Linked DNA regions of Macaca fascicularis. The protein of the gene in region 3 binds, or shares a complex with, the protein of the main gene of each other region. Links are inferred from orthologs where the notes say so. Each region holds a gene or a part of one and is shown on either strand. Other genes may lie near its edges. The genes, in order: AHI1, CEP290, TMEM216, B9D2, TMEM67, TMEM107 and CC2D2A.

What was found.
Region 1: TMEM216 (region 3) and AHI1 share a complex: the UniProt entries of both Homo sapiens proteins name them as parts of the tectonic-like complex. The link is inferred for Macaca fascicularis from reciprocal best matches to the Homo sapiens genes TMEM216 and AHI1.
Region 2: TMEM216 (region 3) and CEP290 share a complex: the UniProt entries of both Homo sapiens proteins name them as parts of the tectonic-like complex. The link is inferred for Macaca fascicularis from reciprocal best matches to the Homo sapiens genes TMEM216 and CEP290.
Region 4: TMEM216 (region 3) and B9D2 share a complex: the UniProt entries of both Homo sapiens proteins name them as parts of the tectonic-like complex. The link is inferred for Macaca fascicularis from reciprocal best matches to the Homo sapiens genes TMEM216 and B9D2.
Region 5: TMEM216 (region 3) and TMEM67 share a complex: the UniProt entries of both Homo sapiens proteins name them as parts of the tectonic-like complex. The link is inferred for Macaca fascicularis from reciprocal best matches to the Homo sapiens genes TMEM216 and TMEM67.
Region 6: TMEM216 (region 3) and TMEM107 share a complex: the UniProt entries of both Homo sapiens proteins name them as parts of the tectonic-like complex. The link is inferred for Macaca fascicularis from reciprocal best matches to the Homo sapiens genes TMEM216 and TMEM107.
Region 7: TMEM216 (region 3) and CC2D2A share a complex: the UniProt entries of both Homo sapiens proteins name them as parts of the tectonic-like complex. The link is inferred for Macaca fascicularis from reciprocal best matches to the Homo sapiens genes TMEM216 and CC2D2A.

Annotation. Positions count from the first base shown.
Region 1 is NC_088378.1:39,536,913-39,541,578, reverse strand, and holds the start of AHI1 (jouberin), read left to right. Parts: upstream 1-1,573; 5' UTR 1,574-1,756; intron 1,757-2,089; 5' UTR 2,090-2,151; intron 2,152-3,627; 5' UTR 3,628-4,018; intron 4,019-4,666. UniProt on the Homo sapiens protein: Involved in vesicle trafficking and required for ciliogenesis, formation of primary non-motile cilium, and recruitment of RAB8A to the basal body of primary cilium.
Region 2 is NC_088385.1:95,016,375-95,020,345, reverse strand, and holds part of CEP290 (centrosomal protein of 290 kDa), read left to right. Parts: coding exon 1-35; intron 36-667; coding exon 668-775; intron 776-1,394; coding exon 1,395-1,594; intron 1,595-3,971. UniProt on the Homo sapiens protein: Involved in early and late steps in cilia formation. Its association with CCP110 is required for inhibition of primary cilia formation by CCP110.
Region 3 is NC_088388.1:12,645,318-12,648,019, reverse strand, and holds the end of TMEM216 (transmembrane protein 216), read left to right. Parts: intron 1-736; coding exon 737-986; intron 987-1,274; coding exon 1,275-1,290; 3' UTR 1,291-1,858; downstream 1,859-2,702. UniProt on the Homo sapiens protein: Part of the tectonic-like complex which is required for tissue-specific ciliogenesis and may regulate ciliary membrane composition.
Region 4 is NC_088393.1:48,502,953-48,507,718, reverse strand, and holds the start of B9D2 (B9 domain-containing protein 2), read left to right. Parts: upstream 1-1,701; 5' UTR 1,702-1,801; exon of another isoform or gene 1,802-1,897; intron 1,898-2,021; exon of another isoform or gene 2,022-2,068; intron 2,069-2,309; 5' UTR 2,310-2,313; coding exon 2,314-2,401; exon of another isoform or gene 2,402-2,545; intron 2,546-4,766. UniProt on the Homo sapiens protein: Component of the tectonic-like complex, a complex localized at the transition zone of primary cilia and acting as a barrier that prevents diffusion of transmembrane proteins between the cilia and plasma membranes.
Region 5 is NC_088382.1:103,464,280-103,467,110, forward strand, and holds part of TMEM67 (meckelin), read left to right. Parts: intron 1-2,084; coding exon 2,085-2,227; intron 2,228-2,831. UniProt on the Homo sapiens protein: Required for ciliary structure and function. Part of the tectonic-like complex which is required for tissue-specific ciliogenesis and may regulate ciliary membrane composition.
Region 6 is NC_088390.1:8,261,279-8,265,888, reverse strand, and holds TMEM107 (transmembrane protein 107), read left to right. Parts: upstream 1-1,672; 5' UTR 1,673-1,797; coding exon 1,798-1,884; intron 1,885-2,060; coding exon 2,061-2,128; intron 2,129-2,211; coding exon 2,212-2,330; intron 2,331-3,170; exon of another isoform or gene 3,171-3,269; intron 3,270-3,436; coding exon 3,437-3,533; intron 3,534-3,778; coding exon 3,779-3,848; 3' UTR 3,849-4,050; downstream 4,051-4,610. UniProt on the Homo sapiens protein: Plays a role in cilia formation and embryonic patterning. Requires for normal Sonic hedgehog (Shh) signaling in the neural tube and acts in combination with GLI2 and GLI3 to pattern ventral and intermediate neuronal cell types.
Region 7 is NC_088379.1:14,667,770-14,671,740, forward strand, and holds part of CC2D2A (coiled-coil and C2 domain-containing protein 2A), read left to right. Parts: intron 1-353; coding exon 354-455; intron 456-1,470; coding exon 1,471-1,647; intron 1,648-3,971. UniProt on the Homo sapiens protein: Component of the tectonic-like complex, a complex localized at the transition zone of primary cilia and acting as a barrier that prevents diffusion of transmembrane proteins between the cilia and plasma membranes.

The DNA.
Region 1 (4,666 bases), on a different chromosome or scaffold from region 3:
AATGAGTATGTAAAGTCTAATATACGGAATGAATATCCAAAATCTAATAAGGAGTAGGAGTATTTGAAGGAGTCAGTCAACCTGCTTAAGATTCGAAGGATGGACAACATTTGACTGTGATATGCAGTAGTGTAAAAGGAGGAATTTTCAGGAAGAGAGAACAATATGTGTAAGGACAGGGCGTGCAAGGCTATGGATTGTTTTTCATAGTACACATAATTCAATGTTGCACAAAACTGCATGATACACATGATTCAATATTGCATAAAATTGGAACAATAAGCTAACGAGAGATGAAATTAGTCAGGGAGATGGAGCATCTTGTATCCTAGGCAAAGCAATCATTTTCTCTTACACGTTGCCTTTCAAGAATTTTCAGCAAGAGAGAGCCATTATCCGATTTACATTTTTAGTCAGGACATTCTGATAGCAGTGTGGGGAATTTTAAGAGTCAAAACTGGAGTCACAGGACTGGTAAAGCGCCCACCTGAGGAATTTAAAAAGAGAGAATGAATATGCTTTGGTATAAGATGCATTTAGGATACTCTACAGTTCTTACTAAAACACTGGGAGCAAGTGTTTGACACTTGATAGTGCAAGATTACAGCAAGATAGTGGTGGCTTACAGCAAGATAGAAATCTAGGAGAGTAGGTTTAGAATGCAAAGTTGAACAGCTCAGTTTGGTACACAGCGGATTAGTAATCTTTCTCGTTGCTTCCTCAAAGGATTTAGGGAAGCACATGGCATAGAGATATAGTTTGTAAGGTGTGGCAATGCCAGTGAGAATGGAAAAGCTGGCCTCCGTAAACTCTCTCTCTGTACAAACGAAGCAACAGGTTACAGCGCGTGGCTGTAGGTACAGGAAATGGCGTGTATTCATGAGTCCACGAGTAGCGCAACTAGTATTTTTCCAGCCCTGGTGACTCAGAGCTGAAGATGGCGCCTGCGGCAGAAATCAGAAAAGTGGGAGGGAGCATTAGGTACAGAAAAGTATGGCGTTTTAACTTTTGTTTTCCACACACAGGGAGATAGCTCTAAAGGAATCGTGCATAATTTTTTCTTAAGATTTTGTCTGTAGTACAACTTCATTTTCCACGCTTTAAAATCATGTTTTCTTTTGTGGGCGCGACCGCGTGGGGAGTGACAAATCTGTTTCTTTGCCTCATTCATTGATTTTCTTATTTTGGGCGACTTCCATAACAGCCTCCCCAGTTTTCCTTTGCCCCGTCAGTTTTTCCCTGCGCTTGCTACAATTCTAAGGCGGAAAGAGTATTTTTGGAGGTGAGGGCGGGGAAGACTCAAGCTCTGTGGGAGCACCCGCGCATTTCCGACTCCCTTCCCGCTCGCACGGCCTCGGAGGCTGGAGGCCGGTAAGGTCCCCGAAGCGCGCGCCCACCAACAGCCTGAGGGCCCCGGTGCAGGCGCCGCGCGGCCCCTTCTCCCGGGCTGAGGCGAAGGCGGTGGCGGCGCGGGGACGGGGGCGGGGGCGGGGCCGCGGTCCGGGCCTAGCGCGCGAGACGCGTCGGTCGCCATGGGAACGGCGGTGTAGGCAGGCGCTGACGTCAGCAGGCCGCGAGTCGTCCGCACTGCGGCACAGAGCAGTGGCTTGCTCTCCGAACCCGGGTCGCTGGCGGGTAAGGTGGCTTCGTGGCCGCCTCACTTAGCGCCCGCGCCGCTGGGCGCGGGGGAGTCGATTTGCACTGTTCCGGGTGTCGGCTTGGGCGGGACGGACGGTTCTGCCTACTCCTCCTCTCCGTAAGTACCTCGTGGGTTCGCTGGTGGCGGGAGCGCGGGCCGGGGTGCTGGGCCTGCCCGGCCCTCTCCGGGGCGGCGTGTCGGGGCTGCTGGAGTCCGAGAGCGCGGGGGCTGATCGCGGATTGACCGGGGAGCGTGGGCCGGGTGTCCCGGAGGAATGCGATTTCCCGGAGTCCTCAACGTACTTTTCCGCTTCTTTCACTGGTCTCGGTGTCTCCGGAGAGTTGAGCATGGTGTTCTGATAGGGAATTCAATCTTTGCCTTTCCTACTCCCGATTCTTGTTTAAATGCTTTTAAATCAGATGCGTACTGAGTGTGTTTATTTCCTTTTAGAGTGTCATCCTGGGGCTGAATCTTCAACCTGTCAAAGCCTACTTAATTACGTCTGAGAAAAGGTGATCAATTTGTTAAACTTATAAGAGCCAGATTATATTAATAGGGTTGTTTCGAGATGCATAAAAATAGAATAAAAATGTAGACCATTTAAGCATCCTTATCAAAGGTTGTGCTGCGTTTGGCATTCCTGTGAAAACATCTAATGTGAAAATAAAGTTTTTCCCTTTTGAGAAAGAGATGCCAACAGTTTTTTCACCTGTTGCATTAGCAGTTACTGTTATTGCTTGGGTTAGGAGGAAGATTGCTTCTTATGAGTACTCTGGGAAATTTTTTAAAGAATGCTTGAAAAAATTAAAATACCAAAAGTGTTATTAAACCATACTTAGAATCTTGTTTATGAAGAATAATATTTATGAAGTTAGAATCTTGTGTACTTATGAAGAATCTTGTTGATCTATTCATTGAATTTTGTGTACAGGATTTTTGTTTGTCTTTTTTTCCCTTGCGATAACATTTGGTTAAAGAGGGAATTATCAAGCCTCTCAATTTTTTCTCCCATTGATATTGAGTCACATATTGGCTGATAATCAGGTGGTCTGTAAAATAAAATGAGATGAGGTGTAATCCATTTAATTTTCCTACATAGTATCTCTTAGAAGCTCCTGTGAAAGGGTTTGTGAGGGAGAAGTTGTAAAATAATGGAATATATAAGATTCGGAGGTGTCTTTTAAAGTCCGACCTGAATTTTCGCAGATAATGTTACTAATTAAATATTAGTCATTAATTCTATCATATGTTTGCTGTAGTACACATTAAGATTTAGAGATGGCTGGGCACAGTGGATCAGGCCTGTAATCCTAGCACTTTGGGAGGATCAAGAGTGGGTGGATCACTTGAGGTCAGGAGTTCAGTATCCGCCTGGCTAATGTTGGTGAAAACCCATCTCTACTAAAAATACAACAATTAGCCGGGCGTGGTGGCGCACACCTGTAGTCCCAGCTGCTAGGGAGGTTGAGGCAGGGGAATTGCTTGAACCCAGGAGGCGGAGGCAGCAGTGAGCTGAGATTGTGCCACTGCACTCCAACCTGGGCAACAGAGCAAGACTTTGTCTCCAAAAAAAAAAAAAATTAGAGATTATTTCTATAATGTATTTGCTGTGTTATTAAATAATATTAGTATTTATTCAGTTGTGTATTAAGCTATTAACAGTAAATAATTCTATGATTTCTGTATTTTATTAATAATTACTTATTTTTAATACAATAATACTGGACATAAAGTAATTTTATTGCAGTGTACTCATTACTTTGCTTTTTGGTATTTTCTCCTTGCAGTACTAAAACAGGTGCCATTTTAAATTCCCAGACAAGGAAAAACCAAGGATTAGAAATTAAGTAGCTTACCCAATGCCACACATCAGTAAGTGGTGACACTGGAGGTCAAACCTGAGTCTTTTTTACTCTAGGACCGTTGCTACTGCTTCGCTTTGCTTTGCTTCTCGTGTTTTCTCTTCTCTCTCCTCTTTTCTTTCATAGTGCCAGATACATAACTATAGAGAGCATTGGCGTGGCCTCCAAAGCTAGCAGTTTGGTGGGAGACAGAACATTTAACCAGGATGAAAATTCAGGGCTGAGGTAGAGGGAGTTACAAAGATTCAGGCATCCTGGGAGCACAGAAGAGAAGTGCTTCACTGCCCTTCAAGGTGCGAATGCTCTCTAGAGAAGATACTTGCCTTCAAAGGATAATGAGGAGTTTGTTAGAGTGACAAAGGAGGAAGGACATTTTTCAGGAGAGGGGATATATGTGTAATGATACAAAAGCAAGAGAGGACGTGGCACATGTGAAGGCCTGGAGGTAGTTTCACATGGCTGGAACACAGCGTATGGTGTGAAGGGGACATTTCATAAATGGCCTTGGACCTCAATGGTAAGGACTTGATATTTTTTTCAGTGTGTGATTGGGAGCTAGGGAAGAATTTTAAGCAAAGAAATGACACCGTCACATTTGAATTTTAGAAAATTACACTGATTGCTGTATAGATGATGATTTATTTTTTAAAAGGGTAAGGTGATAGTGGCATGGAAACAATCTTAAAACAAACAGCATAATCCTTCCACAGTGTTTTTGTCCCAGAGTTACTGTCTCATGTCACTGCCTTTAGGGGTGGTGGAAAGACAGTTGGAAGAATTCTGTAAAGAATTGTCTACATGTCCCTTCTACAGGGGTCACCTTCCATTCACCCCTCAGCCCCAGCCTGCTAGGTTTCTGCCCCTCCATAAACAGCTTTGACACACGTGACTTCCTTCTTGCAGATTCAGTGGACTTTCTTCAAAACCTCCAGCCCCTTTTGATGCCACACAGTATATAGGCTACATCTCCTTTAAAACTCTTTCCTTCTGTAATGCTTCTGTCTCCCAGTTTTTTACCTGTCTCCCTGATTTTACTTTATATTGTGGGCTCTCAGGATTCTCATTGGCTTTTTATTTTCTTGCAACTATCATATTTATAAATAACTCCCAAATCTTCAGCCTAGGGTCTCCCTGCTGGATTAATAGATTGCCTAATAAACATAAT
Region 2 (3,971 bases), on a different chromosome or scaffold from region 3:
AGAAGTATCAACATCTTCTAGAAAAAGCCAGAGAGGTATTTTATTATATTATGAGTTATACTGTTTCATGTATTAGTTTTTTTAAGCAAATGCTAAATATTTTACCTTAAAGTGGTAGTTATTTTCTTGCTTTCAAATGATTCTATTTAAGAACTGTGACTTGCATGTGATTGGATTACACCTCTATCAGTAAAACTGGCAGTTTGTGTAAATGTATCTCTCTTATACACTGACTAAATAAACCAGGAGTAGCTATCATGGTGAAATCACATGATTTTGAAAAATATTTTAATTTAGTTTATAGGTGAGGGTTGAGGCAATAGGGGGGAATGAAATATATCACACTGGTAATCAGTAGAAATCAGATTTGTTAGAACTTTGTGGGGGAAAGCTGACATTTAATTTTTTCTAGAAATAAGTTAAAAGATGATAGATACGTGTTATTCTAATGTTCAGAATAAATTATGAACTGAGGCTGGGCCTGTCAACTTGAACACTGTGCGAGGGAACATGCCTACCGGTCTAAATACATACATATATGGAGATACTGTTTCTTCCTCATCTCGAAGGAATTTTAGAAGATTAAAGAGAAAATATATAAGGTCTTCAAAATGTGAATTTATTTTAATCACAATTTAAGATATAGTTTTGATTTTCTTTAAAACAGGAGCAAAGAGAAATTGTGAAGAAACATGAGGAAGACCTTCATATTCTTCATCACAAATTAGAACTACAGGCTGATAGTTCACTAAATAAATTCAAACAAACAGCTTGGGTAAGATTCTAAGAACTTTGTTCCATTCTTTATTGATTTTTAGACCAAATACATTAAAATTCAGTTATCTTCTCCTTTTTTGGAATACAAGTTACGCTTTTTGTTGCCAAAGTAATCTTCTGAAAATGTAGCTCTGATCATTCTTCCTCCTGTAGCTCATCACTGTTCACAAAATTATATTTATACTCCTTACCCATATACTCAATCTTCTATGAACTTACCTGCCTTTCTTTTCAAATTCTATTCACTATAAGTTTACCTATATTTAACTTCCGGAATTCAGCTCATATTTGCCTCTTTTGACCATTCTGTTCCATATGTATGAAATGATGTGTCTTTCATCTTTTAATGTATAACCTTAGCATATTTGAGCCTTACTTCATTAATTCAGTCAACATTTATTGATCTCCTGCTACATGTAGACACTTTGTTAGCTATTGTAAATACAAAGAATAAGGTCTATATTTCCTGTCTTCTTTAAGCCTTCATTATCTGTTAAATCATTAAATTTTAGATTAGATATTGTATTTTGATCATTTGAAGAACCAATTTAAAAATATAGAATAAGTATGGCATTGAAATATACATGCCTGTTTGCTAATATATTCATATTTTATAGGATTTAATGAAACAGTCTCCCACTCCAGTTCCTACCAACAAGCATTTTATTCGTCTGGCTGAGATGGAGCAGACAGTAGCAGAACAAGATGACTCTCTCTCCTCACTCTTGATCAAACTAAAGAAAGTGTCACAAGATTTAGAGAGACAAAGAGAAATCACTGAATTAAAAGTAAAAGAATTTGAAAATATCAAATTACGGTAAGTCTTCAAAATGTATTGTAAAAATAGGCAAATGATAATAATGATATAATGAAGATAAACATAAGTGTTTGCTATGCTAGGCACTGTTCTAAGACTTTTAAGTATATTGTCTCATTTTTATCCTCAGGTCTACTGATTACATATGTTATCATTTTCCCCATTTTATAGAGAGGATATGACCTCAGGAATGCTTAATAGCATGCCTGGGAGTAGATGGGAAAGCCATAATTTGAAACTAGTCAGTCTGACTCAAAAGCCAATACAAATTCTTTTCCAGAATCTCATTTTTACCTTATTCAAACCTCAGTTTCATCTTATTTATTTATTTATTTTTATTGTTTTATTTATTTATTTATTTTTGAGAAAAGTCTGGCTCTATTGCCTAGGCTGGAGTGTAGTGGCATAATCTCGGCTCACTGCAACCTTGACCTTCTGGGCTCAAGCTATCTTCCCACCTCAGCCTCCAGAGTAGCTGGCACTACAGGCAGGTGCCACCACACCTGGGTAGTTTTTTGTATTTTTGTGGAGACAGGGTTTCTCCATGTTGCCCAGGCTGGTCTCGAACTCGTGAGTTCAAGTGATCCGCCCACTTCGGCCTCCCAAAGTGCTGGGATTACAGGCCTGAGTCACTGCACTTGGCCTCATCATCTTTAAAATGGAAATAGCAGTACTTACCCTGGCCCTTTCAGGGTGGTTATATGAAGGTCAAATTATACCATGTATGAAAGTAATTTGAAAACTGTCAAATAACATACAGATAAAAAACTTTTGTTTGCACACTTATAAGAGTGTCTGGCATATAATAGAGATTCTAACATTGTTCAACCAATTTATCAGAACATAGATTTTAAGCTCAAAATAGGTTTATAGTTTCGTAGTTTCTAAACATTGTAGTATTATCTGTATGGGCCTAAATTTTATTATCTGAAAAAACATGAGAAAGTTGAACTACTTGACTTATAATTCCATTTCAGCTCTCAAGCCCCTATTAGAGCCTTTGATTCTTTACACTCTTATTCAAATGCCTATGACAGAATTAACACTATTTTTGTTTTACTAGGGAGCTGCCACTGTTAAGAAATTACTTTCTAAAAGAAGGAAAATTGGCAGCAGCATATGTGTATTTTCAGTCTCTTTTCCTTGCTCTATTAAATTTTGTACATGAGATGTTATTTTTGGTCTAGTAAATTTCTGTCATGTTTTGGAGTATAAAATGACTTGTGCTTTTGCATCCAATTTGTGGGTGTAGAAAATAATAATCTTTTGAAATACCTTATATAATTTTTTTCCACATGAAATAATTGAAGTTATTGTTGTGTACCTTATCATGTCATTGTAGCCCAAAATTGTACTTGTGTTCTCTGTGTGCCCATTTTGATGTATATTAGGAAATTATGGATCCGTGTGATTACTTAAGTAAAACCTGATATTTTCACAATTTGATGATGACTCTTTAAAGTTAGACTTAAGTTTTGCCAAAAGCAAGAAGCCTCAAAGAATAACATTTGTTCATGTGTTAATGCTGTCTCCCTCTTACTGGTCAGAACCTCAGTACGGATGCAGTGTCCATATGCACAACAATATATTAATTCAGTTTAACAGACTTAATGCTGAATGAGCAATAAGATTAATTGAATTAACTAAATCTTTTAATACTATCCACTTCCATATATATATATAGTTACAGATACAATGCTAGTGAATTTGTACCATAAACAAATAAATAATACATGTGATTTCTGTGAAAATTTATATTAGTCTTTTCAATATGTCAATATAGGGCAGTATTTCTCAAATATAGAGGATCAGTTTTTCACAGTTGTACCTCTTGGGGACATTTGACGATGTCTGGAGACATTTTTGATTGTCATGGCTAGGGGGTGCTACTGATATCTAGTGGGTAGAATCAAAAGATGCTACTAATCATCCTATCATACACAAGGCAACCCCACTAACAACAAAGAATCATTCACTCAAAAATGTTACTAGTAGTGTGGTTAGGAAACTATCATATAGAGGAAGCAGTCAAATTTTACAAGAGCCATAGTATCTAAAATGCCCTTTTGTTCATTCTCTATATTATTTGATTAGAGTCACAAAATAATTTGATAAGATTGTTGCCAAAAATATTAGAAACTAGAAGAAAAACGTGTTGTTAAATTAAAGAGTAGTTAAGTGAAATAAAGAATTACTCTTCTCTGGATTTGGCTGCCTGCATCAAGATTTAGATTGTAAGGATAGTTAGGACTGAACATTTGCTCTGTGTGAAATTTGTATTAATCAAGGTATTAATTGCAGCAACCACTCTATTAATTACATGTGTTTGGCCAGGTGCGGTGGCTCATGCCTCTAATCCCAGCAGTTTGGGTTTATC
Region 3 (2,702 bases):
CTGGGAACAGGTGCCCACCACCACGCCTGGCTAATTTTTTTATTTTTTTATTTTTATTTTTATTTTTTTTTGAGACGGAGTCTCGCTGTGTCACCCAGGCTGGAGTGCAGTGGCCGGATCTCAGCTCACTGCAAGCTCCACCTCCCGGGTTTACGCCATTCTCCTGCCTCAGCCTCCCGAGTAGCTGGGACTACAGGCGCCTGCCACCTCGCCCGGCTAGTTTTTTGTATTTTTTAATAGAGATGGGGTTTCACCATGTTAGCCAGGACGGTCTCGATCTCCTGACCTCGTGATCCGCCCGTCTCGGCCTCCCAAAGTGCTGGGATTACAGGCTTGAGCTATATTTTTTTGTATTTTTAGTAGAGACGGGGTTTCACTGTGTTAGCCAGGATGGTCTCGATCTCCTGACCTTGTGATCCGCCCGCCTCGGACTCCCAGAGTGCTGGGATTATAGGCGTGAGCCACCGTGCCCGGCCATTAAAAATTTTTAAATGATTATATATTATTTTTATAATAAAAAAAAATTTTTTTCCCAAATAAAGATCCCATTGTCTCTTGAGTGGGGACCAGACTGGAAGCAGGACCTCTGGATTAAGTGACTTTAATCTTGTAACTCTGCCAAGCCTCAAACTTTCAGTACAGTGGGACCCCATTTATAAATCTGTGCACCCCACTCAGGATCATTTTTTGTGCCTTGCCATTCCATCACATATCCCACATCTTTCCCCTGGGCCAGGAAAAGCAGACCATTTGGAGATGACTCCATGGGTTCTGTCTGACACAGGTACAAAGGGAAACCTTTGCCAACGAAAGATGCCACTCAGTATTAGCGTGGCCTTGACCTTCCCATCTGCCATGATGGCCTCCTATTACCTGCTGCTGCAGACCTATGTACTCCGCCTGGAAGCCATCATGAACGGCATCTTGCTCTTCTTCTGTGGCTCAGAGCTTTTACTTGAGGTGCTCACCTTGGCTGCTTTCTCCAGGTACTGCTTCGCTGAGGGACCATTTCTCATCACCAGAGGGTTGGGTTCCCATCCCAGGGAGGGATTCAGTATTCTTCTGAAGCCTAAGGGATCTAGAAGACTTTTCTCTAGTGGGGGAAAGGGGTGGCTAGTGGATTGCCTTTCCTGTTTAGGGTAGGTAGATCGATTCCCACTCAGGGAGGATACTCTCCCTATTCTTTGGGGCCAGGAGACTTGGAATATAGAACAGTTGAGGCCAGCTACTCTCATTCACTGGTCTTTTAACATTTTCTTTCTTTCTGCCATCAGTATGGACAGAATTTGAAGTACAGAATTTCAGCCAGCAGCCCATCAGGCTGACACCACACATATTGCTTCTGGTACTTTAGCCACACCAGTGAGAATTGGTGGGGCAAGTTATCCTGAGAAAGGCTGTGTGGCTTTTCTTCAGCACATACATTTGGGCAAGCAACTCAGCATAAGGCCAGTGGGTGCCATCTTCTAAACCAGGACATCAACCCGAGAGACTGTTCTACACTCCAGCATAGGGACGGGCAAGGTTATTCCCATCCTGCCCCTTCTCAGAACCAGTCCCCTGCTGACCTCAAGTTCTCCTCTTTGATCACCGTGGCCAGAGCATCTCGTGTGGACCATCTAGGCTCCTTGGGCTTCAAGCAGGACCTGAGCCACATGCTCCCTGTACGAGTTGTGCCATACCTGTCCCACATGAGCACAGAGAGCCTCATGTTGGTGGGTTTCCAGAGTGATGCGAAAGCCTCTCACCCCAGTCCTCGGAGACTGAGTTTCCAGAACGTTTTTAGTAGCTCATAGTGTTATTTTTCTACTGTCATCATGTAACTAACTTTATTTTTAATAAATATGTATTTTCTGTTGTGGGGGTTGCAGCCTTTCCTTATGGCACCTGTCCCTAGAATTCATCTACTCCAAGAGAGGGTCGTGACTATCCCAGCGGTTTGTTCTCAGGAGCTTTGCTTAGTGATACAGTGTGCACACAAAGGCAGTGATGACCACTGATTTTCTTCCCCAAGCTGCAGCCTAAATTAAACCCTGAATGCACTGCCATCCTCTGTATCTTATTCAAGTCTCTCATCATGCAAAAGACTGCTTATTTGCTTCACTCTGCCCCAAAGTCAGCATCTGGTCTCACTCTTCTTACAGGGAATTGTTAGCTCTTTTCCAGTGGGCCATGTGTAACTGGAAGAAGCGTATTCTAAACTAACTTTTTTTTTTTTTAAAGTTTGGAGACAGTGTCTTAGTCTGTCATCCAGGCTGCAGTGCAGTGGCATGATCTTGGCTCACTGCAACCTCTGCCTCCCTAGCTCACGCGATCCTCCCACATCAGCCTCTCAAGTAGGTGGGACTACAGGCACACACCATCATGCCTGGCTTTTTTTTTTTTGAGACGGGGTCTCACTCTGTCACCTAGACTGGATAGACTGCAGTGCAGTGGCACGATCTCAGCGTACCGCAACCTCTGCCTCCTGGGTTCAAGCGATTCTCCTGCCTCAGCCTCCCAAGTAGCTGGGAATACAGGTGTGCACCACCATGCCGGGCTAATTTTTTTTTGTATTTTTGGTAGAGACGGGGTTTCACCATGCTGGCCAGCCTGGTCTCAAACTCCTGACCTCGTGATCTGCCTGCTGGCCTCCCAAAGTGCTGGGGTTACAGGCGTGAGCCACCGTGCCCAGCCAACTAATTTTTGTATTCGTTGTAGAG
Region 4 (4,766 bases), on a different chromosome or scaffold from region 3:
GTGATAGATGAACTTGGACAGATGAAGGTGTTGGGCGACAAAGAGGTGAGAAGTGGATTTTAGGGTGCATTTCAAAAGTAGAGACAGTTAAGATTTCCTGATGGACAAAATGAGGGCTTGAGAAAAGAGAGAGCAAGGCTGGTGCCACCACTAGGGGACCAGAGGCCCCAAGAGCTGAAAGGTTAGAGCTGTCTTCCTCACCCACACAGCATCCAGAAAGATATAAAAAACCCATCTCTACTAAAATTACAAAATTAGCTGGGTGTGGTGGTGTGCGCCTGTAGTCCCAGCTACTTGGAAGGCTGAGGCAGGAAAATTGCTTGAACTGGGAGGCAGAGGTTGCAGTAAGCTGAGATCGCACCACTGCACTCCAGCCTGGGCGACAAGGCGAGGTTCCATCTCAAAAAAAAAAAAAACTAAACTAACAAAAATCCAAAATTATAAGGAGGGGGCAACATTTCAGTAGGATAACATTTATATTAAACAATTCACTGGAATATTTCACTAGTTGATATATGCATTATTTTGTTTTTTATTTTTGTAGAGATGGGGGTCTCACTATACTCGACCTTCTGGCCTCAACAGCTCTTCCCGCCTCAGCCTTCCAAAGGGCTGGGATTACAGTCATGAGCCTAGCCAAGGGTGGCTTTTAAATACTCGTGTCTATTGGCCTGGCTGGGTGGCTCAGGTCTGTAATCCCGGCAGTATGGGAGAGCAAACTGGGAGGCTAGCTAGAGCCCAGGAGGTCAAGACAAAGGCTGGGCAACACAGCAACACAGCAGGACTCCATCTCTTAAAAAAAAAAAGAATTAGCCAGCCGTGGTGGTGCATGTGTGTGATGCCAGCTACATGGGAGGCTGAGGTAGGAGGATCCCTTGAACCCAGGATTTCAGAGGCTGCAGTGAGCTGTGATCAAGCCACCGTACTCCAGCCTGGGTTACACAGTGCGACCCTTTTATGGAGTCTTGATGGGACCTGATGACTGGCTTGATGTGGGAAATGATGGCATCTATGATGGCATCCAGGGACATCTCCATTTCTTGATTGAGAAATCAATCAATAGAAAAGAGGATTTTCTGCAAATAAGGGGATCCCAGTTCCTCATTTCTCTTCGCTACCCCAACGGTTCCTTGCTCAGACTCAAGCAGTTTAACAGTGAACTTGGTAGTAGCTTGGTAGAAGTTGGGTAAGTCCAACTTCCTTCCTTGTCCTTGAAAAACCTAGGGGAACTCTAAAACGGAAGCAGAACCCACTCCCCAATTTCTCCACTCTCTGTGAATGAGGAGTGATTTTTTTTGCTTTGTTTTCCAGTTATGAGGTAGGGGATGTACATGAGGTCCTGGAAGGAATTCCTCCTTGGTCATAGTTCAGTCTCTGATTTGTGATCCCGGACCATAGAGAGCTCTTCGGTGGGGTCCTCACGCAGCACGGAGCAGTTACGGATTTGCTTTTTTTGGTAAAGAGGACATCTGGGAGAAACTGCACTCAAACTTCCTCAGCCACACTCAACATGGCAGCTTCCTAGCCACGGCCAAAATGGCGGAACCCTTTGCCGTAGCTGGAGAGACGCTATTTTCCCAAAATGGAGCGAGAGGAGGAAAATGTCCATCACAGTTTCACCCCGCCTCCCGGGGACGGCTAGCACCAATCAGTGGCGCGGAGGGCGAGTACAAAGCCAGGGGAGGAGCCTGCTGTTGCTCCAGCAACAACCACGGAACCCAAGGCGAGCGCGGACGCGGAATATCGCGGATTCCATTTCTCGCAGCCGGGAAGGTCCTGGGAAAGGCGCGAGCCAGGCCTGGTAGGCGCCCGCGGAGAAAAAAACGAGTCAACTCAACCCCATGAACTACAACCCCCGTTGCCGCTTTCGCCCCTCCTAACCGTTAAGTGCGCCAAGGTAGGAATAACGCATGCGCTGCGCTTGGAGGCGTGGCTAAGTCGGCCCGGAACTCAACGCATGCGCCTTATAGAGCTTGCTGGGTGAGGGAAGCGGGGTGGCTGACATGACGCGGAAGGCGGGTCTTTTCGCTCGTGGGCGGGGCTTTCCGCTGACCTGAACCCAAAGAAGGTATTTTAGACCTCGCAGAGTTAAATGCTGGTTCCCCAGACAAGGGTCCCCCCATTTTTTCCAGGCTTTCATGGGTTGGCAATTAGGATCTGTGGTCAAGACCTCAGCCTCAGGGGTGTGAGGAAGCTAGCTTGGAATCCTAGTACTACCCTTTACTTGCTGGGCCTCAGTTTCCCCTCCTGTCAAATGGAGATAATATACTTACCTCACAGGGTTGTGATTATATTTTTTCCCATCCCAGGGCCATGGCTGAGGTGCACGTGATCGGGCAGATCATGGGGGCCAGCGGTTTCTCGGAAAGTAGCCTGTTCTGCAAGTGGGGCATTCACACAGGTATTCCCCCAGGCCTGGTTAATTTCCACACCAAGACCCCTAGCCTAGAGGCTGCATGCTCCTTCCTCGACCTGTTAACGCAGCGCCTTAACCTCATCTTCCATCAGCTCTCTGTACTCCAGGCTTAGCCCACACCCTGTCCACGTGAGTCTCAAGCTCCCATCTGTTTTTTCGTTTGTGCAGGGGCTACGGACAGGGTCTCTCTCTGTCGCCCAGGCTGGAGTAAGGTGGTGTGATCATAGCTCACTGCAGCCTCGAACTCTTGGGCTCTAGTGATCCTCCCACCTCAGCCTCCTGAGAAGCTGGGCCTACAGGCACGCACCACCAAGTGTGGCTAATTTTTAAACTTTTTGTAGAGACAGGGTCTCGCTATGTTGCCCAGGCTGGTCTCAAACTCCTGGGCTCAAGCAGTCCATCCGCTTCAGCCTCTCAAAGTGCTTGGATTAAAAACATGAGCCACCACATCCCAGGAAAGTAATTTTGTTCATGCTTCCCCAACTGAGGCCCTGTAGAGTCATGGTATAGTGTAATGGTTAGGGCCATGGGCTGCCAGATCTGGATTTAAATACTAACTCTCCCTTCTATTAATTGGAGACCTTTGGACTTGACCTCTCTGAGCCTCAGTTTCCTTGTCTGAAAGTGAAGCTAATAGCAGCCAAGAAGCAGCACAGGTTTGAGGTTAAGAGCACAGACTGCCTGGGTTCAAAACTAGTTATTGCTTGTTAATGCACCCTTGGGCTGATTATGTGACCTTGGGCACTTCTCTTCACCTCGACTTCTCTGTTTGTACAATGAGAGTAATAGAAATATTTACCTGTTGAAGTTGTCATGAGTACTAAACAAATATCAACAGCACTTAGAATAGGAATAGGGCTGGAATATGAAGTTCCCATTCAGTGTTTGCCTGGCTCATACAAGACTTTGATGGGGTCTTGTTTGTAAAGCCTGGGGTATGTTGTTGCCTGGCACAGATAAATGTCCATGAAACAGATGTGGCCATTGGGCATTATCATGTCTTCAGGCCTGAGTCTTAGTCCCTTTTTTTTTTTTTTGAGATGGAGTCTCTCTCTGTTGCCCAGACTGGAGTGCAGTGGCGCAATCTTGGCTCACTTCAAGCTCTACCTCCCAGGTTCACGCCATTCTCCTGCCTCAGGCTCCCATGTAGCTGGGACTATAGGCACCCGCCACCATGCCCGGCTAGTTTTTTTTGTATTTTTAGTAGACAGGATTTCACTGTGTTAGCCAGGATAGTCTCGATCTTCTGATCTCGTGATCCACCTGTCTCGCCCTCCCAAAGTGCTGGGAGTACAGGCGTGAGCCACCGCGCCTGGCCGTTTTTTTTTTTTTTGAGACAGAGTCTCACTCTGTCGCCAGGCTGGAGTGCAGTGGCACAATCTCGGCTTACTGCAATCTCTGCCTCCTGGGTTCAAGTGATTCTCCTGCCTCAGCCTCCCGAGTAGCTGGGATTACAGGTGTCCACCACCACACCCAGCTAATTTGTGTATTTTTAGTAGAGATGGTGTTTCATCATGTTGGCCAGGCTGGTCTCGAACTCCTGGCCTTAAGTGATCCGCCCGCCTAGATCTCCCAAAGTGCTGGGAGTACAGGTGTGAGCCACTGCCCCTGGCCTCTGGTCCTTTTTGATTCTACAGGTAAGTGAGGTAGAAGTTGAGATTCCCAGGAAATCAGGACCCTCCAGTTGATGGAAGAGAGGCAGACTCTGGAGTCAGACTTGGTTTCCAGGTTCCACCCCACCACTCACCTTCTCTGTGACCCTGGGCAGATGCCATCCCCTCTTAGAACCTCAGTTTCCTCATCTGTTCTTCATAGGGCTTTTGGGAAATCTTGCTTTTAAGCAGCCTGACTGAGGGCCTGGTGCTTCCCTCACTCAGCCCAGAAGGGAGTAATGACTAACCTGATTTTTATTACTTCAGGGAGTTGCTGGGGGTGTTGACCCAGCCAAGAATACTGAGGCAGTTGGATGAACGGCTTGGGCTCTGTAGTTAGAGCTGAGTCTGAATCCAGTTCCATGATGGGACCTTGGTCTGCTATAGTCACAGCTATGTCACCAGCATGGAAAACAGTGCTTGGCACACAGCAGGTGCTCAATAAATGTTCATGAACTTACCTTTTCAGAGCCTGTTTCTTTACCTGTTAAATGGGGATTATATTAGCTCCCAACTCCTAGGATCACTAATTTGTCCAAGAAACATTTATTGAGCACCTTCTGTATACCAAGAGCTGGGTTTGTGGTCTTGGAGATCCAGCAGTGTGCAAGGTCCCTGTTTTCCTGGGCCATACGGTAGGGGAGACAGAAAATAAATAAGCAGGCCAGGCACGGTGGCTCATGCCTGTAATCCCAGCA
Region 5 (2,831 bases), on a different chromosome or scaffold from region 3:
TGTTGGCCAGGCTGGTCTTGAACTCGTGACCTCAGGTGATCTGCCCGCCTCGGCCTCCCAAAGTGCTGGGATTACAGGCATGAGCCACCGTGCCTGGCCCTATTATTTTTAATAATACAATAGTCACCTTCTTTCTTCCTGCTTTTTTTCTTCCTTTCTCCTTCAGTCTTCCTTCCTCTTCCTCCTCTTTCTAACTGTATTCTTCCATCTCTCTATCTTCTTCTTTTTTTTTTTTTTTTTGGAGATGGAGTTTCGCTCTGTTGTCCAGGCTGGAGTGCAGTGGCGCAATCTTGGCTCACTGCAACCTCCGCCTCCCAGGTTCAAGCAATTCTCCTGCCTCAGCTACTCGAGTAGCTGGAATTACAGGTGCCTGCCACCACACCTGGCTAATTTTTGTGTTTTTGGTAAAGATGGAGTTTCACCATATTGGCCAGGCTGGCCTCGAACTCCTGACCTCAAGTGACCTGCCCACCTCAGCCTCCCAAAGTGGGATTGCAGGTGTGAGCCACCGCTCCTGGCCTCACTATCTTCGTCTTCATCAAGAGCTGATGAGACTATGAGCTAAGGCAGTAGCAGTGGGGCTAGAGAAGAAAGGATTGCCAGAAATGTTAAGGGAAAAGACTAGTCAAAAATTATCCAGACTTCTGGCTGTGTGACTAAGTGGGTGGTGGTGCCTTTCAATAACAGAGGCAATACAGAAGGAGGACCAGGTTTTGAGGGAAAGAGGATGAATTTAGTTTTCAGTATGTTGCATCTTGAGGTACTTTAGGACATCTAGGAAGAGGTATCCAGTAGGCATTAAATATAAGGGACCAGGTCGTAGGAGAAAGTAGAAGCACACAATAAATTGAGGAGTTGCTATCATATGAAGTCATTGCTGGAGCAGTGTTAGTAGAAAATCACCAAGAGACAGTATGTAAAACAGGTTTATTTTTAAGATTATATATGCAAGTATAATGTGCATATTTTGTAAGGATATAACTTATAGGTCAGTGAATTTTCACAAACTGAATATACCCCTGTAACTAGTACCCTTTCAAGAGAGAACATTACCAGCACTCCAGATGCCCCCTTGTATAAAGCAGATGTTCCTAACTGGGTATCCCCGGGCTGCTTCAGTGGTTTTCTGGATTTCCCTGAAATTGTTGGCAAGACTTGTATATGTATGGTTTTTTTTTGTTTTTTTTTTTCCTGGTGGAAGGGTCTTTAGCTTTCATCAGGCTTTTGTAGTTTTTTGTTTGTTTGTTTGTTTGTTTAGAGACAGGTTTTTGCTCTGTTGCCCAGGCTAGAGTGCAGTGGTGCAATCATATTAATAGCTCGCTATAACCTCAGACTCCTGGGTTCATGCACTCCTCCCATCTCAGTCTCCCAAATAGCTAAGACTACAGGTGTGCACCACCAGATCCTTTTTCTTTTTTTTTGGTAGAGATGGAGTCTCACTATGTTGCCTAGGCTGGTCTTGAACTCCTGGCCTCAAGCAGTCCTCCTGCCTCAGCCTCCCAGAGTGCTGGAATTACAGGCATGAGACACTGTGCCCGGCCTCATCATAATCTTTTTAAAAGGGTGTTCACATCCCAATAAGGATGAAACCCGCTGGTGGAGTGAGAAGAGAACTTAGAGCAAAACCTTAAGGGGACTATTTGAAATAAATTATTGAACTCTTGAACACTGTGTACTATTCTGTGCCTTGCTGGGTTTTTTCTCTAATATACTCTATCTTAGGGAATGTTTGTAAGATTAATTTAGCTTTTAGTTACATAAAGAAATAGAGAAAGGCTATTTATTAACTGGTCTTTGAAACTTACACTACTAGCAGTTACCAACCATTGGTCCTAATGTTAAAACTGCTTTATAGGAGGTGTTATGAGTTTTTTAACTAACCTCTTTTAGATGAGCAAATCTTAAAATTTTTGTTTATTTTTAATTTAATTATTTTGTTTATTTTTGTGTAAGCCATGAATTATTGTATATAGTATGTTTCTAATGTGCTATTTTTAAATATCCAGATTTTGTCACCAGAAATTTATCACAGACTTGTTCCTTTTTTAAATTTCTAATTTATATTTTCTAAACTTTTTTAATAGATGAAGGTTATTCTTTCAGCAGTGTCCTGTATTATGGAAATGAAGCTACCCTTCTTATTTTTGATCTGCTGTTCTTCTGTGTTGTGGATTTGGCTTGCCAAAATTTTATTTTAGCATCCTTCCTTACATATCTACAACAAGAGGTAAATTTTAAAAATTTTTCTACATTTCCCTTCATTTTCTTGAGAGAAATATGTTAGAAGTAGATATTTTCATAGCAGAGAGTAACAATGTCTACTTTTACTACAATTTTGTAAAGGTTTAGAATATGACTAACCCCACCAAAAGGAGGAATAACATTTCAAACAACTGTACTCTGTCCTTTAGGGTCAATGAAATACTGAGGTCTAGTGGAGGGCATCAGTTGCTTGATTATACATGGAAGAGGAATCCTATAGGAAGACATTTAACTACTAGTCTCCTAGATGCTACAAGTGAACAGTAATTAGAGTCCCATCCACCCTCTCCACCAGATGTTAAGTAACAAAAAAACAGGCACTGGAGAGCTAGCTCAGGGCTCAGCACCAAAGGGAAGCCCCCTTTAGCCTGCAGCTTTGACACCTCGTCTACCAGTGTAGATGAAAAGCAACTTTGTGTATGAGTGTGGACCCTGAAATAGAGATCTCAAGAAATGGCAAATCTGTTCTTGAAATGGTGTTATTATCAACTAAATATTCTCCACTATGTCAAAGAAGTATATATGAGTAAGATGCAATTTATTAGTCCTTGACAGTGATCTAGAATTGT
Region 6 (4,610 bases), on a different chromosome or scaffold from region 3:
TGTTGGCCAGGCTGGTCTGAAACTCCTGCCCTCAGGTGATCTCCCTGCCTCGGTCTCCCAAAGTGCGGGGATTATATGCGCGAACCACCACTCCCGGTCAATTTCTGGCCAAAGTTTCTAAAATAAAGTTTAAGAATAAATGCCCTATTTTTATAGAATTATAAATGCCCTACTTTTATAGAATTATAATTCTAGCGTTTCCTTTTTTTTTTTTTTTTTTTTTTTTGAGACGGAGTTGTGCTCTTGTTGCAGAGGCTGGAGTGCAATGGCACGGCTCACTGCAACCTCCACCTCCCGGGTTCAAGCGATTCCACTGCCTTAGTAGCTAATCGAGTAGTAGTAATCGAGTAGCTGGGATTACAGGCACGCGCCACCACATCCGGCTAATTTTGTATTTTTAGTGGAGATGGGGTTTCAGCATGTTGGTCAGGCTTGTCTCGAACTCCTGACCTCAGATGATCCGCCCTCCTGGGCCTCCCAAAGCGCTGGGATTACAGGCGTGAGCCACTGTGCCTGGCCCGCGTATCCCTGTTTGTAGCACCTATTATCTTACGGATTTATTTGTTTGCATGTCTGTTGTTGATCTCCCTGACTAGAATACTATTACTAGGTAATAAATAAATATATAAAAATATTTGTTGAAGGAATGAGAAATGCCTCTTGGGCTTGTACTTTAGTCTGGCTAAAGGCACTGAGACGTCGAGTGGGAAGTAGGAAGATATTGTTCTCCTGGGAAATGGGCCGGGAGTTTCCTTGAGGATGGGACTTGACTGAGCAATTAGAGAAGAACTTTCAGATCTGCAGGGACCTGCGCTGAGGCCCAAAGGTCATGACGTCGCCGGTGATAAGAGCTTCCTGGACTGTAGCTGGGCAATGTCGGAGGTCCAGCACCTCCAAGAGATAAAGAAATCTAAGTTGAGTTTCCCTTCCCGTAGGCTCCAAGCCTCCCAGAGACGCAGGGACTGTACCATTCCCTTCGTCCACTCCCACCTTTCCAGCCACCTTGCTTTGCTCTTATTCCCACGCTAGTTTAAGGACGCGGACCACTTTTTGCACTCTGCAAATCCTTCACCAAACTGAGCAAAGTAGTCTGAGAGAAATCAGTCTTCCTCAAGGAAGGTTCAGGCCTAGGGTCCTCAGACAACCAGGGGCTCTGTGACAATCTGTAACTGCCGAGCAGTCCAGGAACACCGGCCTCTCCACGTTCGGGTCCCTTGTTTCTCAGGCCCAGCTTGGTGGGAAGTTAAAGGCATGAGGAGAGGAGGAAGGGGAGCGGGTGTGAGTCTTCGGCATGGCGGGGACCTCAGCCCGGCGTGGCGGTGGGAGTGATCTCAAGTGATCCACAACTGGGCAGCGTAGCTGGGGCTGGGGGCCGCTCCCGGCGTGGGCAACCGCGGAAGCAGAGGTGTCCCCAGGCTAGGCCAGGGTGGGTTTCCGTTCGTCGGCCCTGCGTGGGCAGATCGGGCGCTGCGCGGCTGTGCCACCCCTCACCCTCTGAGAAACAAAGGGCCTGGCTGCGCACGGGTACCCAGCCATTGGGTTAGAAGCTCCTTCGGGTACCCCTGACCTGAGTTAGCCCTGAAAGACCCACAGCAGATGGAGAATGTACTGCTCTCGCGAGGTTTTCCGAGAACGCGGCAGCACGCCCGCGTACGCGGTTACCAAGGCAACTGGGCGGTGCCTGAGCTGGCGGAAAGGAGGAGTTCGTCTAGATTTGTCCGCTTGCTGGTGGACTTGCGGGAGTCGCAGTCTCTGAACTTCCAGCCTCAGAGACCGCCGCTCTTGTTCCCAAGGGCCATGGGCCGGGTCTCAGGGCTTGTGCCCTCTCGCTTCCTGACGATCCTGGCGCATCTGGTGGTCGTCATCACCTTATTCTGGTCCCGGGTAAGACCCACGGCTGCCCTCCGTCCGCCCCCATTCCCATCTCGGAGTCGTCCCCGCCCCACCCTGCCCCTCTCCCAGTGTCTTACCCACTTGGGTTTTCTCGTGTTCCGCCGTCCCTAGGCCTGCCCAGCAGCCTGCCCCTTTTTCACTTCTCTTCCTCTCTGCCCTGCTCCCAGGACAGCAACATTCAGGCCTGCCTGCCTCTCAGGTTCACCCCCGAGGAGTATGACAAGCAGGACATTCAGTGAGCTCTTAGGACGGGGTGGCCAGAACGAAGAGGTGGTGGGAGTGGAGGGGTCTTAGAAGAAGTCCAAAGGCCTGAGCCAGTCCACTTCCTCTCTGCAGGCTGGTGGCCGCGCTTTCTGTCACCCTGGGCCTCTTTGCAGTGGAGCTGGCCGGTTTCCTCTCAGGAGTCTCCATGTTCAACAGCACCCAGAGCCTCATCTGTATCCTTTCTGCCTGCCCACCTTTCCCACACGACCCATTTCTATCAGGACTCCCTTCAGCCACCTGACACAATAGTGTCTGCTGTAGCCAGTCTCTCCAGTTCAAAGATCTTCAACCATGTGCTAAATCCTGCTGTTTACTAGGCACTTAAAATTCCGAAATGAGAGTAAAATACAGTTTTTGGCCAGGCACGTTGGCTCACGTCTGTAATCCCAGCACTGTGGGAGGCCCGCGCAGGAGGCAACATAGTTAGACCCCGTGTCTACAAAATAAATAGTAATAATAAAAACTCCACTTTTTTTTTTTTTAACCATGAGGAGGAGGTAGATACACATCTGTAATTCAGTGTGATAAGCAGTGTGCTATGGGAGTGTGTAAAGATAGCACAGGCAGGGTGCGATGGCTCATGCCTGTAATGCCAGCACTTTGGGAGACCGAGGCAGGTGGATCACCTGAGGTCAGGAGTTCAAGACCAGCCTGACCAACATAGTGAAACCCTGTCTGTACTAAAAATACAGAAATTAGTCGGGCGTGGCGGTGCACTCCTGTAATCCCAGCTACTCAGGAGGCTGAGGAAGGAGAATTGCTTGAACCCAGGAGGCAGAGGTTGCAGTGAGCTGAGATCGTGCCACTGCACTCCAGCCTGGGCGACAGAGCAAGACTCTGGCAAAAAACGAAAGATATAAAGCACATTGGGAACTCAGAAGAGGCAACGGAAGCCAGGCACATGGGTCAGAGAATTGTGGACCAGGAGGACCAGGACACTGGAGGCTGATTCCAGCGCATATCAAGTCGCTGTCAGCACTCCTGTGTGGCATAGCAGGAGAGCCTACTCTTACCTCTCATCTGAAGGATCCAGGCTGGCCCCTAGATATGGAGTAGGGTAGCCTGAGATCCCATCTGCGCAGTCACTTCTGGTCTCTCCTCACATGACTGTCCTAAAATTCAGAAGTCGGGGATGCTGACTCTAGCCCTTGCAATATGGTGAGGGAGCAAACGATGAACCTGAATGCAGATGCCAACCCCACCACTGGCCTTTGGCCTTTTCTGACCCCTCACTATCTGTCGATCCAAAGACTTTCCTTAACTCTGGTGCCTTCCCAAGCCATTGGGGCTCACTGTAGTGCATCCGTGGCCCTGTCCTTCTTCATATTCGAGCGTTGGGAGTGCACTACGTATTGGTACATTTTTGTCTTCTGCAGGTGTGGTAGCATCCAATATTCGGGAATGAGGGAGGAAGGCTGACCCTAAACCTGAGGGTTTTTCCCCCACCCAGCCCTTTCCTCTATGTGTGAGATACCAGATCCACTTAACATCCTGTAGTCTTTTGAATTTTCATTCCCTACCCCATGCCACCTGTCCTACACTTTCAGGGGTGGGGTCTCTGGTTTGGAGATTTGGGTATTTATATTGAAAGGGTTTCTGAATTTACCACTTGCCTCGGTAGTGCCCTTCCAGCTGTCACTGAAATGACTTTATTCGTCACCGTCTTTGGGCTGAAAAAGAAACCTTTCTGAGCACCTTCATGACGGGAACCTAAGGACGAAGGCTACAGGGGCAAGGGCCGCTTCGTATTCCTGGAAGAAGGAAGGCATAGGCTTCGGTCCTCCCCTCGGAAACTGCTTCTGCTGGAGGATATGTGTTGGAATAATTACGTCTTGAGTCTGGGATTATCCGCATTGTATTTAGTGGTTTGTAATAAAATATGTTTTGTAGTAAGATTAAGACATATACAGTTTTCAAGGCACAATTGAGATGGCGAAACTACTGAAGAAAAAAAAAGAAGCAACGTTATTTTCTAGTTCTGCAGACCGTAAGATACTTGGTATCGCTTCTATTTTGGTTATTACGGTAGTTGTCTGGCGGAAGGGAGTGGGCGGAGATATGTAAATAGAAAGTGCTTACAGTTAGAACGTCCAGCACGTAAATGATCGGAGCATTCTGGGAAAAAGAAATGTATTCCTTTTCGGCAGCCGAATGAAAAAATTCTTTTAAAAATGTGCAAGCAAATATGGCAATACAACTGGAAGGATGCTAAGTAGTAGGGTTACTCATACCAACGCGTCGTGAACTCACCCTAGCTGTAAACGGAATCTTTTTGACTGAGTGCGGAATGTCGGCTCTTTAGAAATATCGTCAGGTGGGATAATCCTTACCTGTTCCTCTTTTGGAGGGCAGATGAGAACATGATGATTGGAGAATGCATGAAACGTGATTAACGTCTCTGCGTAATCAGGACTTGCAACACCCTGATTGCTCCTATCTGATTCTTCCTGACG
Region 7 (3,971 bases), on a different chromosome or scaffold from region 3:
GCATAGCCAACTACACACCAAGGCTACAAACCTGAAGAGCATGTTACTTTTCTGAATACCATAGCAATGTAACACAATGGTAAGTATTTTTTTATGTAAATATAAAAAGGGTAGAGTAAAAATACCATATTTATAGTCTGTACGACCTCTGTCATGCATGCAGTTCTGCAGGTTGTCGCTATGGAGGGCATGACTGCATTTGAAATTTGCCAGCATTCCATGCCTTAGGAATGATAAGATGCAACAGCAGTCAGAAGATAAGCCTTTGGGGCAGGGGGGTTAACCTTCATTTTAGAACAGCCTAAGTTTCTTGGTTTAAATGGCTTATGCATCATTTTTTTCCACTCATATAGCCAGGGAAAGAGGTAGAAAGTACTCAACAAGAAATTGATTCCCGAAGTTATTCAAGAGTCAAGTTCCGTGATTCTGCACGAAAAATCAAGCCTAAACCCCAGGTGAGAAATCTTGTCTTTTTAAACCATTTGTTCATTTGTGCTTTTTACAAATATCCAATGAGAAATGACTACAGGCCGGGTGTGGTGGCCCGTACCTGCAATCTCAGCACTTTGGGAGGCCAAGACAGGCAGATCGATTGAGCACAGGAGTTCAAGACCAGCCTGGACAACATGGCGAAACCCCATCTCTACAAAAAATACAGAAATTAGCCAGGCATGATGGCACATGCCTGTGGTCCCAGCTACTTGGGGGGCTGAGATGGGAGGATCACTTGAGCCCATGAGGTCAAAGCTGCAGTGAGCCATGATTGCGCCACTGCACTCCAGTCTGGGTGACAGAGTGAGACCTCATCTCTAAATTAAAAATAAATAAATGACTACATACACAACCTGACTCCTGTTGCCATGCAGTCTGCAAGAAAAAAGTATGAGAAGTGATTCCAACTTTCATACTAGCTGGAGAGATCAGAATATTCCCTGACTTGAGGAAGAGGGGGTGCATGGAAAGACAGGAAATGTTGGTGATGAGACAATTTGTTCAGCTCTGAAGTTGCCCCAGCTTTCATTACAGGAAAAAAGGAGAGTACTAACTCAAAAAGAGAAACAACAAAAAAAGGTCATTTGTTTAAAAATTTCTGTATTTCTCATAATAAAACAAAAAACTATCTCAGCATTGGCTGATAAAACAATAAATCCACTGTTTGTCATTTTAATAACCTTATCTAAAGTGTTTACTACTATAAATAATATATTTATGTACTTATTGGAATGTAAATAATTGCTGGGTTTTTTTAAAAGTCACTGATTAGAGTTACTATTAAAGGAGGCCTCCCACTGCCTGTGGCAGGTATTAAAGTTTATTACCAGTAATCTCACACCTTTAACTAAGACAGTATGCTTCGGAGGCCTGGAATACGCCTGATCCCATTAGCATCAAGCCAGCTGTCAGTTAATTGTGCAGAGCCCATTACAGCTTATAAATGGGAACTTGCGATTGCTCCTTGCTTTTCGTTAGGTTCCACCTGGCTTCCCTTCTCCAGAAGAGGCCTACAACTTCTTTACTTTCAGCTTTGATCCCGAACCAGAAGAATCAGAGGAAAAGCCAAAAGCAAGACATAGAGCGGGAACTAATCAAGAGGAGGAGGAAGGGGAAGAAGAAGAACCACCTGCACGAGGAAGAGGAAAGGAAATGGTATTTAATATCAGGATGGTAATGTGTGGGTGGAGGGCTAGGAGGAAAAGGGTGATATACCTGCAAGAAAGAAAGTGGCTGAGGAGAAAACCCACCACCACCAGGAAAATGACACTCCCCATGAGTTGAAATCCCAAGTACTGAATTCACATGGCTCCCTGTGCTCTGGGTTAGACCCTACAATGTGGTAAGAAGAACCTTGATTAAACCTGTTTATCTTTCTTTTGTGAAAAAAAAAATTAAATAATGTGGCTTGTGGATTTTTCTTGCTAGACTCCACAAAATGATTAGTATTTATTCCATGTGCAAAGTATGTTCCTCTGCAAGGCAAATGAAACCTCAGTCTCTCTCTTATCGCAACCTTACAAAGTAAGCAGCTTTTTGTGCCCAAACACCACACTCAGGCTACAACTCAAATTCTGCAACTGTGGGTGGTATGTGTGAGATAAAAGGAGAATATACCATTTAAAAATGGGCAAAGGCATTGAATAGACATTTCTTCAAAGAAGACATGCAAATAGACAATAAGTCCATAAAAAGATACTTTACACCATTCATCATAAGGGAAGTGCAAATCAAACCCACAATGAGATACCCCTGCACAGCCATTAGAATGGCTCTTATCAAAAACAAAACAAGTGTCATAGAGGATATGGAGAAATTGGACTTTGATGCATTGCTTGCAACCACGTAAAATAGTGCAGCTGCTGTGAAAAACAGTATGGTGGTTCTTCAAAAGTTAACCACAGAATTATAATATGATCCAGCAATTCAATTTCACTCTGTGTATATATCCAAAAACATTGAAGACAAGAACTTGAACATATACTTGTGCATCAATGTTCATAGCAGCATTATGCACAAAAGCCAAAAGGTAGAAGCAACCCAAGTGTTCACTGGCAGATAAATGGATAAACATAAATATACAATGGAATAGTATACACCCTCAGAAAGCATGGACATTCAGACACATGCCACAACATAGATACACCTTGAAGACATTACACTAAGAAAAATAAGCCAGTCACAAAAGAATAAATATTCTGTGATTTCACTTATATGAGCTACATTGTATAGTCAAAATCATAGAGACAGAAAGTAGAATGGTGGTTGTCAGAGACTAAAGGAAGGAATCAAAGTTGTTATTTAATGGGCATAGAATTTCAGTCTGGGAAGATGGACAGATGGTGGTAATGGTAGGACCACAACGTGAATTTACTTAATGCTACTGAATTGTTCACCTAAAAATGGTTAAAATGGGCTGGGCGCGGTGGCCTGTAATCCCAGCTTTGGGAGGCCGAGGAAGGTGGATCACCTAAGGTCAGGAGTTTGCGACCAGACTGGCCAACATGGTGAAACCCCGTCTCTACTAAAATTACAAAAATTAGCTGGGTGTGGTGGCAGGCACCTGTAATCCAGCTACTCAGAAGGCTGAGGCAGGAGAATTACTTGAACCCGAGCGGCGGAAGTTGCAGTGAGCCGAGATCGTGCCATTGCACTCCAGCCTAGATGACAGAGCAAGACTTTGTCTCAAAAAAAAAAAAAAAAAGAAAAAAAAAATGTTAAAATGGTGGACTTTATGTTATATATATTTTACCACATTAAAAATAATGAAAACACCCTAGGATATTCTAGTATTCACATAATTGGCTTAATTCTCTGCTTTGCTTATAATCTCCTCCTTTGAAAAATGCCTCCCAGAAATGCACTTCTTTTACCTAGATTTATAGAAGCTCAGGAATATTTTAGCTTATACTATAACAATCGTTCTGCAAATCAGCATTCAGCTCATTCAGTGTTGCTTGAGTGTCCTCCTGACATGACAGCTAACTTCCCAAAAGCAAGTGATCTAGGAGAGAACCCAAAAAATAAGCCACACTTCCTTTTATGACCTAGTCTCAGGAGCCACACACTGTCACTTCTGCCATATTCTACTCAGGAGAAGCAAGTCACGAGGCATAGTGCACTCTCAAATGGAGGAGAATTGGGCTTCACCTGTTGATAGAAGTCTCCAGTTGTGAACATCTTCTGAGATTATGACACTTTCCACCAAAGGCCACTTCTCCCTTCCTTTTGCCTATTCACTGCCCCAGAAGCTCTGTTTTCCTAAAATCACACACATTTTAAATCACACACATTTTGAAGCCCCTTCCCTATAGTCCATGCTCTGCTCTGCCCGGACACTTTTAAAGTATTTTCATCTTCAAGGTTGATTTAGTCTTTTTGAACAAAGTTTTAGATCCTCTGTAGCCCCTTTTGCTAGCTTCCCTTTTCTGTCTTCTCTGCAGTTTTTCTCTGGGTGATTTTGCTCACCACAAAGCAGA